Tamandua tetradactyla: one gene and its partner. The protein of the gene in region 2 interacts with the protein of the main gene of each other region in a pairwise test. Links are inferred from orthologs where the notes say so. Each region holds a gene or a part of one and is shown on either strand. Other genes may lie near its edges. The genes, in order: EIF5A2 and DHPS.

Region 1 (8,679 bases), on a different chromosome or scaffold from region 2:
GGTCCTCGGGCAAGGGCGCGCATCCCGCGCTTCGACCCGCCGCCCCGGCCACTCAGGCAGCCCCTGCACCGTCGGCACCCGGCCCTGCACGGGCCTTCGCCCCGGCGGACCCCGAGCTCGTCTCTATCCCCCATCCATCCTTCCTCCTTCCCTCGGTCAGGGCTTGGCTCCGGCCGCGCGCCGTTCCCAGTCCCACCAGCTTCTCCATATTTCTTCACCTTTCAGCAGGGAAAGAGCGCCTTTCGCCTGCGCACCCGCGCCGGTTCCCCAAAGCTGCGGCGACCGCAGACGGCGGTAGCGGTGGCGGCCGCAGCAGTTCCAAGAGTCCGGGCGGGGCCGCCACACTTTCCACTGCCCGGCCTCCCCGCCCTTTCCCGCCCCCACCTCAGCTCCACTTCCGGGATAGGCCCCGGCGCGTCACAGGCACCGCCCTACCGCCTTACCATTGGCTACACGGTTACCAGGGCCCCGCCCAGTCACGTGAAGAGAGCCCTGGCAACCCCACGTGCTGCGGATTAGTACACTTCCGGTGTGGAGAGTGCTTTCTGGCGTCCTGCTGCTGAGCCGCTGCTCGCCGGAAAGGAAACTTGCTCAGTCAAACTCTCAAATTCGTTGCGCTGGAGTTCCAGTCAACGTTAACGGGAACAAATGAGGGCCAATACCAAGAACTCAGTCACCCCTGCCCTCAGAATGCCTGGGGTTGTCACGTGACACCCGCTCTCAGAACTCGCGATGCGCGCGAATTGAGCGGAGGCGCAGCCGGGCTACGGAGAGAACTTTGGCTTCAGCTTTTGATTGAGCTTGCAATCCTCTTAGGGATTTGAACCCACGCTTGTTTTTCTACGAACAGCCAAGATGCAATATTTTATTGCCTGGCTGTGCGGTCCTAGGCACCTCATGATGACATTCTGGCCGCAACTACAACAAGGGTGCCCCACCAGAGGTAGCAACATTTTCAGGAGTGGGAAACCCTGAGACAGCACTACATAAAAAGCAGTAGTGACATGACCTAACCCTTTCCCCACACCAGAGGCTGTGAGGGAGGTGATCTCACTTGTGCCATATTGTTCAAAGGAGGTGTTTTGCACAGTCAGCCCTTCTTTCCTTGTGGAATTGAGGTACTTTCGAGTTTTGGGGGTCTTTACATAACTTTATTGAAGCAGTAGGATTATCTTTCACACCCAACTGAAAACTACTGAAACTTGAATAATATTAAGGACCATTCTAGTTTGCTAGTTCTCAGAATGGCAATATACCAGAAACAGAACGGCTTTTACAGGGGGGATTTATTAAGCTGCAGTTCTAAGGCTGAGAAAATATCCCAACTAAAGCAAGGCTATAGAAATGTCCAATCGAAGGCGTTCAGGAAAAGATAACTTGGTTCAGGAAGGCCAATGATGTTCAGGGTTTCTCTTTCTGGAAAGGCACATGGTGAACATGGCAGTGGTATCTACTTGCTTTCTCTCCTGGCTTCTTGTTTCATGAGACTCCTCCAGGGGCATTTTCCTTCTTCATCATCTCCAAAGGTCTGTGGCTGCTCTTTTCAAAATGGTTCCCTCTTGAAGGGCTCTGGTAAGCAACCCCACCTTGAATGGGTACAGACACATTTCCATGGAAATCATCTAATCAAAAGTTACCACCCACGATTGAGTGGGTATCCATCTACATGGATAATTAAAAAGCTCCCACTCAGCAGTACAGAATGAGGATTAAAGGACATGGCTTTTCTGGGGTCCACAAATTCAAACCAGCACAAGGACAAAGGTTCTTAAAAGAGATGTGCATCTGTTTATAGTTCCTTTTCACCACTCACCAGGATCCACCTTAGAGAAGCAACCTAGGAAACCACTTCCCACCCTCACTTTATGTGTGGTCCTATGATTTTGTATTGCTGTCTCATGAATAATCCCTTTTCTCACATTTCTATGTGGCTTCACAGTTTACACAGATATTTTACGTGTTGATGAATTTAACTTTCACAATAAGCAAGTGAGTCGCCATATATTGAACTCAGTCTCTAGCTTATATGTGAAAGAGACAGATTGGAACCCTTGTTCATGAGTCCACTCTGCTTTTCGTTACATCACTCAACCTTTCTTTGTTTGATTATTATTGTTACTAGAATGATTGCTAATATTTAAAGTGTATGTATGTGGGTGGGGGTTGTGCTAAAAGTGTTACGTGCATTATGAATGTAATCTTCATTGCTACTCTTTTTAAACCTCAGGATTATTGAATTATATTTATTCAAAGTTCATCGTTTTTAGTTTTGTGAGCTTTGAGAGACATGCCATATGTAACCACCACTATAATCAAGACAGAGAAAATTTCTCTTGCTCCAAAAGGTACCTCTTGTGGTCAGTCCATGCCTGCGACCCCAGCCCCTGGCTATCGTTCACAACTACTATTCTATTTCCATTTTTCGTTGAGGAAAAAGGCAGAGGAAGGTTAAGTAACCTGATCAAGATCACACAGCTAGCAAGTCAGAGAGCCAAGATGGAAATCTAAGCAGTTTGGCTCCAAAATTCACTACTTCAACCAGCACACATACTACATTCACATAAGATAACAAAGCATTGGATTTTAAATCAAAGGTTCATGCATTCAACAAATATTGAAGTACCCATGGTTCTGGAGTTATTAACCAATCCAGTCAGTAGATGCTTGTAGTAAGAAGCAAACTAGCAATTTTGGGCGGGCCGCGGTGGCTCAGCGGGCAAGAGTGCTTGCCTGCCATGCCGGAGGACCCCGGTTCGATTCCCGGCCCCAGCCCATGTAAAAAACAAACAAACAAACAAAATATAATAAAATAAGAAAGATGTTTCCCTTTCTTCCTCCTTTCCTTCCTTCTATCCTTCCTTCCTTCTCTGTCTAAAAAAAAAAAAAAAGAAGCAAACTAGCAATTTTAATGGAGTAGAATAAATGCTATTAGAGAAATAACTACAGAGTGCTGAAAGAAGGGATTCCTTATTTAGTCTAACAATTGAAATATCTTGCAAAGCATGTATAATTTTAAATGTTCTTGTAGCCATATAAAAAAGTAAGAAGAAACAGATGAAATTAATTTCAGTAATGTAGTTTTTTAACCCATTTATCCAAAATGATATTATTTCACATATACTCAATATAAAAATTATTAATAAAATATTCTCATTCACTTTTTCATACTAAGCCTTCAAAATCTGGCATGTATTTCATACTTACAGTATATCTCAATTCAGCAGAGACACCTTTCAAGTGCTCAGCCGCTAGGTGTAGTTATATTGACATCACAGGTCTGGGAGGTTTGGAGACTGCTACCCTTGGGAATATCTCATTTGAAATCTGAAAAATGAGTAGAAATTCTCAATGGAGAGAGGGTTTGAAAGGGATTTAGGCAAAGGAAATGGGGGTACAAAGGCCTAAAGGTGACAGAATCATGGCATCATCTGGTACTGCAAATGGTTTAGCGGAACTGATGTGGATGGTAAAGAGAGATGAACAAATCTGTACTTTCTCCCAAGGGTAATTGAGAAACATTGTATGTATATATCTATATCTCCCTTTGTCTATATATACGGAATTGACAACAACATATTTTTTTACTTAGAAAGATCATTCTAGTTGCAGTGCAGAGAATTTATTAGGAGAAAAAATGTTGGAAGTGGAAACCAGTTAGGAAGGAATTACCTGGTAGTAAATCTGAGAACATGGAGAAGAAAGAAAGAATCAAGAGAGTTATGAGAGAAGCTCTTTAGTTTGCTTCTCAGAAAAATCATAGTCCTTTTTTACTTTTACATAGGCAGGATCCAGGAATCGAACCCGGGTCTCTGGCACAGCAGATGAGAATTCTGTCACCAAGCCACCAGTGCATTAGCAAATCGTATTTTTTTTACTTTTTTTTGCATGGGCAGGCACGAGGAAATGAACCCCGGTCTGTGGCATAGCAGGTGAGAACTCTGTCTGCTGAGCCACCATGGCCTGCCCTACTAATCACTTTTTTGTTTTTTTCCCTAGTAACCAGTTTTTGATACCCACATTTACAGGAAAATCTGCAGCCTACTGCTCCCTGTTATCAATTCAGATTAGTTAGGGTTCTTGGGTTGCAAACAAAAGAAACCAATCCTGATTAAACAAAAAGAGAATTTAATGAAGAGCTTGCCACAAATGACAAGGGAAAAACTGTGCAGAAAGGACCAAATGAAGCAACTCTGGGAATCTTGATTGCAAATTTGGACCTGTCACTGGCACCATTTTAAATTGTTTGGGATGACTGTTTCCTTACTTACATAGTCTCGGGAAGATTTAGGATTATGTATAGAAGTAATAATGTAAGCACACTGGTGGGTTTGATATTTTTTGATAAAAAATTGGTACAGATTTGATTTTTCAATTATTTATAATAGTCAGGATATTAGAGTAAAGATAAGCCTTGAGATTCCAAATTTAAAATGTACAGTTGGGTGATTGAATTAATCTTATGGTTTTAGATTGAAATCGCCATAGGTTTATAAATAGAAGATTTAAAAGAACTCAAGATGCACCATACTTATAAACTGAATGTATCACTTTTACAAGAACCACAGTACATACCTTGGAAGGTTTTATTTAGTTAGAAGGCATTTGGTGGGCTTCGGAGGAAAACTTAGAGGATACAGAGGTCGCTCAGTGGTTAGAATGCCCCCCTTTCATGCGGGAGACCCTGGTTCGATTCCTGGACCATGCAACACCACCCCCACCCCACCCCCCCAACCCCCGCCAAAAAACAACTGGGACTCCAAGGCCGGGGCTATTTCTGGGGCGTTGGCTCCCCGAGGCGGTGGCGGCGGAGCCCGGTAGGTGCCCTGCACCCAGACTGGTGGCTGTTGGTAGCCCTGTGCGCGGTCAGGCCCGTGGCCCGGCCAGCGTTCTTCACGTGCTCTGCCGGTAAGGGAAGGTTGGCGAATGGAGCTAAATCCAGCCTGCCCCTAAGCCTCCAAGCAGGGAAAGGACGCAAGCAGCCTCCTCAGGAGCGGAGCGGAGTACCAGCACTTAAGGGGTCTCCGGGCCCAGCCAAGGCGAGCAGGAACGAGGGCCCTCCCCTACCCGCAAAATCACTATAGCGCCAGGCAGGATAATCGAGAGGCAGGCGCCCAAAACTGGAGGAGGGAGAAGAGGGCATTTCACAGAAGTCCGCGGAAGTGGAGAGGGGCCCCCTCTGGCAGGGAGGAGCGGTGTCCTGGGACTGGCCCACCTTGCTCTGCCTGCGCCCCCCGCCCATGCTCTCACCACCACCCACTACAAAGCACACCCGCCATGCTAGAGTCTCCCGTGGACCATCTGTGGACCGAATGGGAAGTTTTCCATAGGTTTTGGTTCCCAGAGACCCTTCCCACTCTTCTGCCCCACTGCACCGCCCCAAAACACACACCCTCCTTGACAAGGCACGTCTCATTTGGCCGCACCCTCTCACTGCTGCGTCACACTCTTTCTGGGGAGAGACATTGCTGCCTGTGCTCCTGGTTTGGGCCCCCCTTTTCTGTTCCTACATTCTTCCCTCTGGTTCCTTATAAGTGTGTCTGGTGGGGCTCCCCTGGCCTTAAAAGAGGCCCAAGCCCCATCCTACGCTGACGTGCCCCATACTGGCAGCAGCGGGTGCAGACAATGGAGGAGGCTGCTCAGGCTCCAAGGACGCCCCCAACTAACCCGCGTCCTTGTCACCATGTGGGCCTCACAGCTCCCTGTGCAGGAAGCAGGAGGAGTTGGATTCCCCAGCTCTTTGCTCCAGGCCACCTTGTCCTCTCCCTGGAATCTGAGCATATTGCAATGAGGGAGATGCCATTTCATCTTTCATACAGGTGGGGTTGAGGAGGCCCAGGTTCCTCTGGTGGCCACTTGCCCAAATCTGTCTGCTTCCACTCTAGGCCCCTTTCCCCTTTCCTCAGGGGGGCCACTAATAACAAGGAGATAACCTTACCCACTCCTACCCTCCTGCTCCTCCCCAGACCCCAACGTTCTGGTTCCATCTTTCCTCTTTTCCAACAAACCACCTCTGGAAATTTGTGTCATTTTTTCAATGTTTCATTCGTAAAATATCCACCATCATTGCTGCTACTACCAGCGCCATATATTCACCCTTATTGACTACCCCCGTTCTGCCCATAGTCCCCTCACCCAAGATATTCTGCATGGGGAAGAGGTACCCCAGGTACAGCTGGGGTACAGCAGGCTGGGTTACTGACCACCCCAGTCCCAGGGCAGGTGATGCTGTGGCAGAGTGAGAAGTTATATGATTGATTAAAGCAAAACATACACATGAAACATTATTCTGGGGTTTAGTCCATGTATAAAAGTAATAGATATGATAGTAGCACAGAAGATGGAAGATAAATGGAAGTAAATTGTTATGAGCCCCTTTTCTGTTCCTTGGTTCTTTCCTCTGGTTCCCACAAGGGGAGGTTGCAAGGATTTTAGATTTTACATAAAGTGATATGATATTAACCCTAAATACACTGAGTTTGGGTAAGAATGCATATTATAATCCCTGGAACAACTAAAATGAATGTAAAGAGCAATAGATAAGAAGCCAATAAAAATTAAAATGAAACACTAAAAAGTATTAAATTAACCCTCACAAAAGCAGGAAAAGAGAAACAAAGAAACAAAAATTCTATGGAGCAAAAAGAAAACAAATAGGAAAATGATAGGCCTAAATTTAAACCCATTAATAATTATGTTAATGTAAGTGGTGTGAGCACTCCAGTCAAAAGGCAGCAATTATTAGACTAAACAAAATCATAAGACCCAACTATATGCCATTTACAAGAAACACTTTAAAAAAAGGGCACGGGAAGGTTGAAAATGAAGGGATGGGAAAATGTTATGGCATTCAAACAGTAGACATTAAAATACTGGAGTAGCTATACTAATATCAGATAAAGTAGACTTCAAGAGAAAAAGTATTACCAAACAAAAGAAGGACATTGCATAATGATAAAAGATCCAATCGTCAGGAAGTCTTATCTTAAATGTACATATCCCCAATAGCAGAGTTTCCAAATACAAGAAGCAAAACTGGTAGGACTAAATGAATAAATAGAGAAGTCTGCAGTCATAATTGGGTGTTTCAAACACCTCTTTTAGTAATTTATGGAGCAATAGACACAACATCATTAAGAACATAGTAGCATATCTTAATACCTTATTAAGATCATCAGCCACTTTGACCTAGCTGACATTTATAGATCACTGAACCCCAAAACTGGAGAATACACTTTTTCCCCCAGAATACACATTCTTTTAAACTATACGTGGATCATCTTCTAAGATATGCTGGGCCAATTTCCAGAGAATGTTTTCTTTTCTTTTTTTTTTTGTTTGTTTTGAAATGAAATTTTATTGGGATATAGTCACACACCATACAATCCATCTAAAGTATCATCACGTAACTGTGCAATCATTACCACACACAGAGAATGTTTTCTGACCTCAGTGGAATTAAATTAGAAATCAACAAGATATATTTAAAAACTTCAAATATTTAGAAATAAACGGCACTTTTGTAAATAACTCATAGATCAAAGTAGGAAAAACAAGAGACATTAGAAAATGTATCACACTGAATAATAAAAAAACAGTATATCAAAATTTATAGGTTAGAACTAAAATAGTAATTAGCAGGAAAATTATTTCATTACACATTTATTTCAAAAAGGAGAAATAGTTTAAATTAGTGGCCAGGGTTCTACCTTAAGAAACAATTGAAAGAGAAGCAAAGTAAATCTACGAAGTAAATCTAAAGAGCCAGATAGTTAATATTTCAGGCTTTATGGGACGTAGAGTCTCTCTCACAACTGTTCAACTCTGCCATCGTAGCCTGAAAGTAGCCATAGAAAATATGTAAATAAATGAGCATGGCTGTATCCTAATAAAATTTTATTTACAAGTACAGGAGGTGGGCTGGATTTGGCCTATTGGTTGTAATTTGCTGGAGTAAGTAGAAAAAAGCAAATAATAAAAAACTGAAATCAAAGGATAGAAAACAAACAATAGTAAAAATAGACAATGTCAAAAGCTAGTTGAGGAAAGCATTAATTAAAACACTTAACCCTGGGTGGGCCACGGTGGCTCAGCAGGCAAGACTGCTCTCCTGCCATGCCAGAGGACCTGGGTTCGATTCCCCGTGCCTGCCCATTCAAAAAAAACAAAAACAAACAAAAATGTTTAACCCCTAGCAAGACTAGGATATTTTTTATATCTGTGAATATGCAAATGTTCAATATAAAAAATGAGAGAAGAGAAATCACCATATATTCTATGCATAATAAAAGGATAATACAGAATTATTATGTACAAATTAATGGCAATAATCACTCAGCATCATATCTTTAAGATTCATCTACATAATGGCATCTATCAGAACTTCATTCTTTTTTTCAAGGGTGAGTAATATTCCATTGCATATATACAGCACAGTTTATCCATTATCAGCTAATGGACACTTGGATTGCTTCCATCTTTTGGCAGTTGTGCGTAATGCTGCTGTGAACATTGGCATACACATATCTCTTCAAGTCCTACTTTCAAGTGGGATTGCCAAGTTATATAGTGGATCTCCGTTTAACTTTCTAAGGAACTGCCAACTGTTTTCCACAGTGATTGTACCATTGTTCATTCCTACCAACAATGTATGAAGGATCTTATTTATTTGTTTTCTTCACT
Region 2 (7,770 bases):
TCTGCCCCCCAGCCCCCGGGCCTGAGGTGCCAGGGCGCCAGGGCCTCCGGGCCGTGGTCAGGCAGGGGGCCCTGGGCTGGCCTGTGCTGGGGGAGGCAGGTTGGGGTCCCGGCCCCGGCAGCAAACTGCCCTTGCCCTGGGACCCTGCTGGTGTGGTGACAGTGGAGAGGTTGTGTGTGGAGAAGAAATAAACGTGATGTGATGTTACTGGGGCTGGCAGTGGTGGCTGGGGGGCCTGGGGGGCTCTGCCAGGGTGTGTGCGGGCTGGGGGGGCTGCAGGGGCGGGTGTGTGCATGTGAGCAGGCAACTGGCGGGCAGGGAGCTTGGGGCTGGAGGAGGCAGTCCTGGCGTGTTTCCATTACAATGAGTATGTGTGTGTGTGTGTGTGTGTGTGTGTGGTCCTGGCGTGTTTCCATTACAATGACTGCTGTGTGTGTGTGTGTGTGTGTGTGTATGTGTGTGTGTGGTCCTGGCGTGTTTCCATTACAATGACTGCTGTGTGTGTGTGTGCGTGTGTGGCTTGTCTGTGGGCCTGAGTGTGTGGTCAGGGACTGGAGGGCCTGAGGACATAGGCACCTGTTTTTAGGGCTGCAACTCTGCGTGGGTGATGTGTGTTGGCGCAGGGAGCCCGCTGGCGCTGCCCTGTGGGGGTGGGGAGGCGAGGGAGGGAGTGGGACCAGTGCCCCCCTGCGGCCTGCGACCCTCTGCCACAAGGATGCTGCCACCTGCACGCCCACCTCCCCAGGCCCAGCCACACCCCGGGCAGCGGTCACTTCATGTTTATTGGGTCACAGGATGGCACAGGGCTTCTTCTCCTTAAAGGGGTTGGTGGCAGCCGGGATGCCCACGAGGAAGGGGTCGCTCTTGGCCTGCTCCGTGCAGAACTGCAGCAGGTCGGCGGCCGCCTTGGACACCTGGGGTCGCCCCCCCACATCCCGTCAGCCCCGCCCCGGTGCTCAGCTGAGCCCTGCACCCCCGGGGCGCCCCAAGCCACCCCGCTGGGCCAGGCCCTCACCTTCACGCGCTCCAGGCCCACCTCCATGCGTAGCTGCTCCACGGCCCGGCGGGCCTGCCCGATGTCACTGCCAAGGGCCACCTTGCTGGACATCTGGGGAAAGGCGAGCTGGGGGTGGGCGGGGGCCTGGCCCCAGAGCCCCAGACCCTGTACTGCCCTCAGGCCCCTGGGGACTGCAGGGGAGCGGCTCCCTGACCTCCCCCCAAGGCCACTGTACCTCTGCTGAGGACTCAGCCGATCCTGGCCGCCCCATCCACCGCCAGCTGGGTTCTGGCTGCCTCTCACCCCCACCTGGCCTCCCCTCTCCCAGCCCCTCCTCGTCACCCCCCGCCAAGGCTTTGAAGCCAGGAGGCTCCCTCACCATGCAGTGAAATGTCACCAGCCTCAGCTGCTGCTTGGGCCAAGGGGGTCCCTGCCCCAGGAGGCCCCTGCGGTGGCCCTGGTGTCACGTGTCATCTAGATCCCTGGGGGATGGGAGCCCTGCAGGCTGAATGGCTTGGCAGGCGGAATGCAGGGGTGGGGTGGGTTGGCCACTCCATGGTCTGCTTGACCCCTTGCTATCCTTTCCCCAACACGTCTCCTTGGCCAGGCTCTGCCATCCCCTGTGTGCGGGATTGCAGCAGGGCAGCCCTGCCTTTCCTTTCTGTCTACACCCACCGCCTGGGTACAAATGACTCCATACACCCAGAGAGCGGACTTCCTCAGTCCCTTTCCCAGCCGTTCCCTGAATTACAGACCTGAGGTCCCACCTCCTTCCTTGGTACATCCTTTAATTCAATCAAAGCTAGACTCTGTTATCTGTCTGCCCAAATCTTATGTCCCCCCTCCCCTGAGTTGAAGTGCAGTACCCTCCACTCGACTGCTCAGGGCCAAATCTCCAAATCCTTTTCTGCCCTTCCTTCCTGTTATCCCCACACCAAATCCTTTCTCAAGTGCCATCAGGGGAGCCTTCAAGTTGGATTCTGCATTGGTCACTTCCGCCCACCCTGTGGTCGCGTCCCCCTTCGCTTGCCTGGCCCCGGGCAGCTGACTCAGCCCTGCCGGCCCTCTCCAGGTCACACCTCGGCTCTCCTCAAGGCAGCCAGTGGGAATCTCTTAAAAAATACATCACAGGCTCTCGATCTTGCTGAGACTCTCCCAACGTTTTGCTGCCCCTTAGAATGAGATTCACCAGTGCACGCGGGGTCCTGTCTAGGCTGGACTCTCCTGCTGTCTCTGAATTCATTTTCGCACCACCCTCTCTGTCTCTCATTCTTCACTTACCAGCCTGATGCCCTTGATTTCATTCATTCATTCATTCGGCACACTTGCTGAGGTCCTTGTATTTTCCAAATACTGCTCAAAAAGCAGGAGGTGAAATGGTGAAATGAGACAAAATCCTGTCCTCACTGAACTGCTATTCTAGTAGGGGAGGGACAGACAACCAGTGAATAAAATACACGTTATAATGCAGACATTTTTGTATAAAAGCAAGGGGAGGGCAAAGGGGAGTGGCCAAAGCAGGCCAAGAAGGTGATAAATGAGCTGAGACCCAAAGGAGCTGCAGGTCAGGAGAGAGGCTGGAGGGTTCCAGGGGCACATGGAGGCTGATGTAGCTGCAGAGAAATGAGCAAGCAGAAGCTAACGGGTGTTGGGGCAGGTCAGCGGTGCCCCTAGAGGCCAGGGAGAAGTGGCTGGATTTTATCCCAAGGGGAAGTCACCCTTAGAGAGTTTTAATGAGGAATGCTGCATGTGATTTATGTTTAAAGAAGGGCTCTCCGGCTGCTGTTGGGAGACAGATTGGAGGGGAGGGAGCCCAGTGTGGAAGCCACGGGAATGAAGAAAAGTGCGTGTACCTGGGACCTATTTGATAGGTAGAACTTAGTGGGTGTGCTGATAGAAGGGTGTGGGGTCTGAGAAAATGGAAGACCTCAGGTTCAACTCCATAGTTTCTGGCCAAGTGGAGAAGTGGAGGTTGAGGACATTGGTTGAGATGCAGAAGATTGTGGGAGGATCAGATTTAGGTGAAGAGGGGAAGGATGTATTGAATTTGAGACCCAAGTAGGGTGTTAAGAAGGATGTTCTGTCTGTCCTATAAAGTGGGCTCATTGCCAGCCTCAGGGCCTTTGCACTGCTGGGGGTGGGGGTGAATGCCCTCCCCTGATTTCTTCACATAGCGGTGGGTCTTTCTTGGCCTTCTGGTTTTGGCTCAAAACCTCCCAACTACCTGTCCATCCAACTGAAGTCGCCAATCACCCCAATTACTCTCCTACGTCACCCTGTTTAAGTCCTGAATAGCATTTACACTGTTAATTTTCAGACTGTGGGCTCCTCGGGGGCAGAGGTCAGTCTTGTTCACTGCTAAACCCACAGCACCTAGCACAGAGCCCAAGGCGTAGTATGCCTCCACATATCTTAAGCCAGCAATAAAGGGGTGGCCTGCGCACAATTAGAGAGATGCTGTTCTAGTTTGCTAGCTGCAGGAATGCAATATACCAGAAGCAGAATGGCTTTTAAAAAGGGGAGTTTAATGAGTTGCTAATCTACAGTTCTAAGGCCAAGACAATGTCCCAATTACAACAAGTCCATAGAGATGTCCAATCAAAGGCATCCAGGGAAAGATACCTTGGTTCAAGAAGACCGATGAAGTTGAAGGTTTCTTTCTCATCTGCAAAGGCACATGGTGAACACGGTCAGGGTTCCTCTCTCATGTGGAAGGGCACATGGCGAACATGGAGTCATCTGCTAGCTTTCTCTTCTGGCTTCCGGTTTCATGAAGCTCCCCGGGAGGCGTTTCCCTTCTCCATCTCCAAAGGTCGCTGGCTGGTGGACTCTCTGCTTCGTAGTGTTGCTCTCTCTGAATCTCTCATTCTCCAAAATATTTCCTCTCTTATATGACTCCAATAAACCAATCAAGATTCAGCTTAACAACCACTCCTGACTAAATCCCATCATCCAGGGAAATGATCTGATTACAGTTTCAAACATACAGTATTGAACAGAGATTATTCTACCTTTACGAAATGATATTTTGATTAAAACATGGCTTTTCTTAGGGGGCATACTTCCTTTCACACCGGCACAGATGCGCATAGAGGGATGCAGGAGCCACAGACCCGCCTTCAGGAGTCTTACAGTCTCCCTGGGGCGGGGGTGAGGGGAAGAGAGGGGGAAGAGCTGTCAGAAGAGATCTTTGGGCCAGTCTGGAAAGTCAGGAAAGGCTTTCCAGAGGTGACAGCTGCAGCTGCCGGTGGAAAGGGTTGTGCAGCACGTGGTGGCATGAGCAGAGATCAGTGCCATGTGACTAGAGAGGATGAGAGGCAGGAAACTGTATCTGACTCTGCCTGGGGACCCAAATCCTGCCCAAGGGCCACGCCTAAGAAGTGGTACTCTCCCCAAGACAGAATTGGATGGCGGAAGCATTGCACAACGCGCTGGTTTCCAGCAGGCAGCAGTAAAGGTAGGACTCTAATCATATGAAGCTGAGAACGTGCAAACCAGGGAATAGACTCCTCGCTTCCGTACAGCCGCGCAAACATGGCCACTCCCTGGGCGCCACAGAGAATCATGTGACTGAGCTACTTCCGGTCCGTCTCCCCGAGGTCTTCCCGAGCCCCATTTCCTGCGCTCCGGCAATAGAAGCAAGCGGTTGTGGGACCCGGCACGTTAAACGCCGCCGGAGGCCCGCCGGGGGGCGGCCGTGACCTGGGAGCGCCGCCGCATAGTATGGAGGGCCCCCTGGAAGGAGGGGCGCCCGCGGCGGCGCTGGCCGCCGTGCTGAAGCACAGCACGGCGCTGCCGCCCGAGAGCGCCCAGGTCCGGGGCTACGACTTCAACCGCGGCGTGGACTACCGCGCGTTGCTGGAGGCCTTCGGCACCACCGGCTTCCAGGCCACCAACTTCGGACGCGCGGTGGAGCAAGTCAACGCCATGGTGAGGCCTGAGGCGGGACTTCCGGGCCCGGGGAGGAGCGTGGTCTGCCGGGGGACCCGTGCTGTACCTGGGTTAGGGGGCGGGACTTCCTGCGGGCTGGGTGGGGCGTGCCATCCGATGGGGCGGTCCAATCGCCGGAGAGAGGCGGGGCCTGTCCTGGGCGAGCGTTTCTATGAGGGCTAGACTTGCAAAGGAGATGCTGACTCCAGAAAGGCGGCTACTCCTGAGCCCTCCCCTGAGGTCTGGGCGGGGAAGGAGGCGGGGCCTGGCACCAGGTACAAGTGGTACCCGATTCCTGAGTGGGCAGGGCCTTGGGGGCGGGGTCTGCCTCTGGGACCTACCCGGGGCCTTTGGGTTGAGCTCAAGCCCATCGGGCCCCTCTACCCAGATCGAAAAGAAGCTGGAGCCGCTGTCGCAGGACGAGGACCATCATGCGGACCTGACCCGGAGCCGCCGCCCGCTCACCGGCTGCACCATTTTCCTGGGCTACACGTCCAACCTCATTAGCTCGGGCGTCCGCGAGTCCATCCGCTACCTCGTGCAGCATAACATGGTGGGAACCTGGCAGGGTTGGGGCCTAGACGCCCTCTGAGTCTCAGCGGTCAAAAGGATCATCGAACGTTTTAGTGAGATGATGGAGAGATGGGTCGGTCCTAAGCAGAGGGACAGGATGCAGTTGATTTTGCAGCAGCGCTGCCCCTAAGGGTCTTGGGGTGAAGGTGGGGGTTTGGAGACCTGCAGGCTGAGGGCAGGGATCCCCTTCCCTGGCCAACGTTGCCACCTTCTGGCCACAGGTGGACGTCCTGGTGACCACAGCTGGGGGTGTGGAGGAGGATCTCATCAAGTGCCTGGCACCCACGTACCTGGGGGAGTTCAGTCTCAGGGGGAAGGAGCTCCGGGAGAATGGGATCAACAGGTGTGGGGGAGGGGTGCTGGGTGGCCTGGGTGGTGCTGGGCAAGGGGGCTGGCCCCAGGGCCCTGAGGCCTGATGTCCACCTCCTCCTGCCTCCAGGATTGGGAACCTGCTGGTGCCTAATGACAATTATTGCAAATTTGAGGACTGGCTGATGCCCATCCTGGACCAGATGGTGCTGGAGCAGAACACAGAGGTGGGGCCAGGGCCCACCCCCTGGGGGGAGGGTGGCTCAGTGGGAGCCACAGGAAGTGCGGGCTCATCCTTGTCTCCTCCTAGGGTGTGAAGTGGACTCCTTCCAAGATGATTGCCCGGCTTGGCAAGGAGATCAACAACTCAGAGTCGGTGTATTACTGGGCCCAGAAGGTGAGGGGCTGATTCGGGGCACGTGTTAGCTTCCTTCCTCTCCACAGGGGGATGGTGTCCTCATTCTCATTGCCCCCATTTCAAGGTGAGGAGCCTTAGGCACAGAGCAGTTAAGTAATTCTGTTAGACATCACCCAGCTGTTGAGCGGATCTGTTCTCCTGGGCTGCCTGGGAGCAGTTGGGAGCTTAAGTCCGGACAGTGCTTAGCAAGGCCCCTATGGGTGCCTGAGGGTCCACACCCCACAGAGGCCAGGAGGTCTAGGCATCTGTCAGTTAACACAAGCTACTGCCTTTTAGTTGCTAGGCGCTGTCCTAAGTGTTTTGGGTGGTTTGTTAAATGGGCATCATCTTTGGGGGTAGGAGGGGAGGTACTATTATCCCTTGTAGTGCTCTTGAGGAACCTGAGGCCCAGAGAAGTTAAGCCCTCTGCCCCCAGTCAGGCAGGGAGGAAGTGATGCAACAGGGAGAGGCACCAGGCTGCCCGCACCAGGCTCCGGGCCCCAAGCCCTGTCCTGCCCTCCCTCCCCCAGAACCACATCCCTGTGTTGAGCCCGGCGCTCACGGATGGCTCGCTGGGCGACATGATCTTCTTCCATTCTTACAAGAACCCGGGCCTGGTCCTGGACATCGTGGAGGGTGTGTGCTGGGGCTACAGGTAGGGGTCAGGGGGAGGCGGGCCGGCTGGGCCCCAAGCCTGAACACAGCCCCTCACACCCCCAGACCTGAGGCTCATCAACACCCAGGCCATCTTCGCCAAGCACTCGGGGATGATCATCCTGGGCGGGGGCCTGGTCAAGCACCACATTGCCAATGCCAACCTCATGGTGAGAGCCAGTGTGGGAGCTGTGCCCATGAAGTGGGCCTTCTCCCACATGAGGGGAGACAGGTGTGGACTGGATGGGAAGGCCTCCTGGCCTCTGGAGACTAGTGGGGGAGGGAGGCGACACGTGAAGCACATGGGTGCTGTGACAGGGTGGCAAGAAAAAGGGGTGCATGAGGGGGGCTCTTTTAGGAAGTGTGACCTGTGAGTGCCCGAGTGGGTGGGAGGAGGGCTGTTCCTGGTATAGGAAACGGCCAGAGCGTGGGGGGGTGATGGGGCAGGTGGAGTGGAGCCTTGGGACCGTGCATAGGATTTTGGCTTTTACTCTGAGGAAGGTGGGAGCCATGGAGGGCTCTAAGCACAACAGGGATGTAACCTGATGCAGGTGTTCACAGGTGCCCTCTGGCTGCTCTGTGCTTGTGGGGGGAGGAGGCATCTGCCTTTGTCCCAGACCAGGCGGGTATCAGGAAGCAGGGAGAAGCAGGGTCTTGCAGGTTGTTCTGAAGACAGGGTTGGTAGCAGCTCTTGTTGACCAGGTGGCAGGAGGCCTGTTGACACCTGGTCCTGGGTGGGTCGAGGAAATGCCCCCCACTGCTTACCCAGCAGCCCTTCGGGCCCTCACGTGAGCCAGGGCATCGCTTTCTAAATCTGGGACGTGCTCGCAGCCATATGCCCACCAGCTCTGGCCAGTTACCCGCTCCTGCCTGTGTCTTTCTGTCTCTTCTGCGAGTGGCTGACCTGGCC

What was found.
Region 1: the proteins of DHPS (region 2) and EIF5A2 interact in binary tests that used the Homo sapiens proteins (3 or more experiments, as listed by UniProt). The two-hybrid records come from large-scale screens. The link is inferred for Tamandua tetradactyla from reciprocal best matches to the Homo sapiens genes DHPS and EIF5A2.

What each region holds. Positions count from the first base shown.
Region 1 is NC_135331.1:68,342,299-68,350,977, forward strand, and holds the start of EIF5A2 (eukaryotic translation initiation factor 5A-2), read right to left. Parts: upstream 3,306-8,679; 5' UTR 3,205-3,305; intron 669-3,204; exon of another isoform or gene 444-668; intron 390-443; exon of another isoform or gene 219-389; intron 1-218. UniProt on the Homo sapiens protein: Translation factor that promotes translation elongation and termination, particularly upon ribosome stalling at specific amino acid sequence contexts.
Region 2 is NC_135337.1:89,906,584-89,914,353, forward strand, and holds the start of DHPS (deoxyhypusine synthase), read left to right. Parts: upstream 1-4,346; 5' UTR 4,347-4,720; coding exon 4,721-4,927; intron 4,928-5,089; exon of another isoform or gene 5,090-5,202; intron 5,203-5,315; coding exon 5,316-5,480; intron 5,481-5,721; coding exon 5,722-5,843; intron 5,844-5,939; coding exon 5,940-6,036; intron 6,037-6,119; coding exon 6,120-6,206; intron 6,207-6,736; coding exon 6,737-6,842; coding exon of another isoform or gene 6,843-6,861; intron 6,862-6,926; coding exon 6,927-7,030; intron 7,031-7,770. Other genes in the region: GNG14 (guanine nucleotide-binding protein G(I)/G(S)/G(O) subunit gamma-14), read right to left, coding at 789-914, 1,016-1,108, 1,233-1,268. UniProt on the Homo sapiens protein: Catalyzes the NAD-dependent oxidative cleavage of spermidine and the subsequent transfer of the butylamine moiety of spermidine to the epsilon-amino group of a critical lysine residue of the eIF-5A precursor protein to form the intermediate deoxyhypusine residue.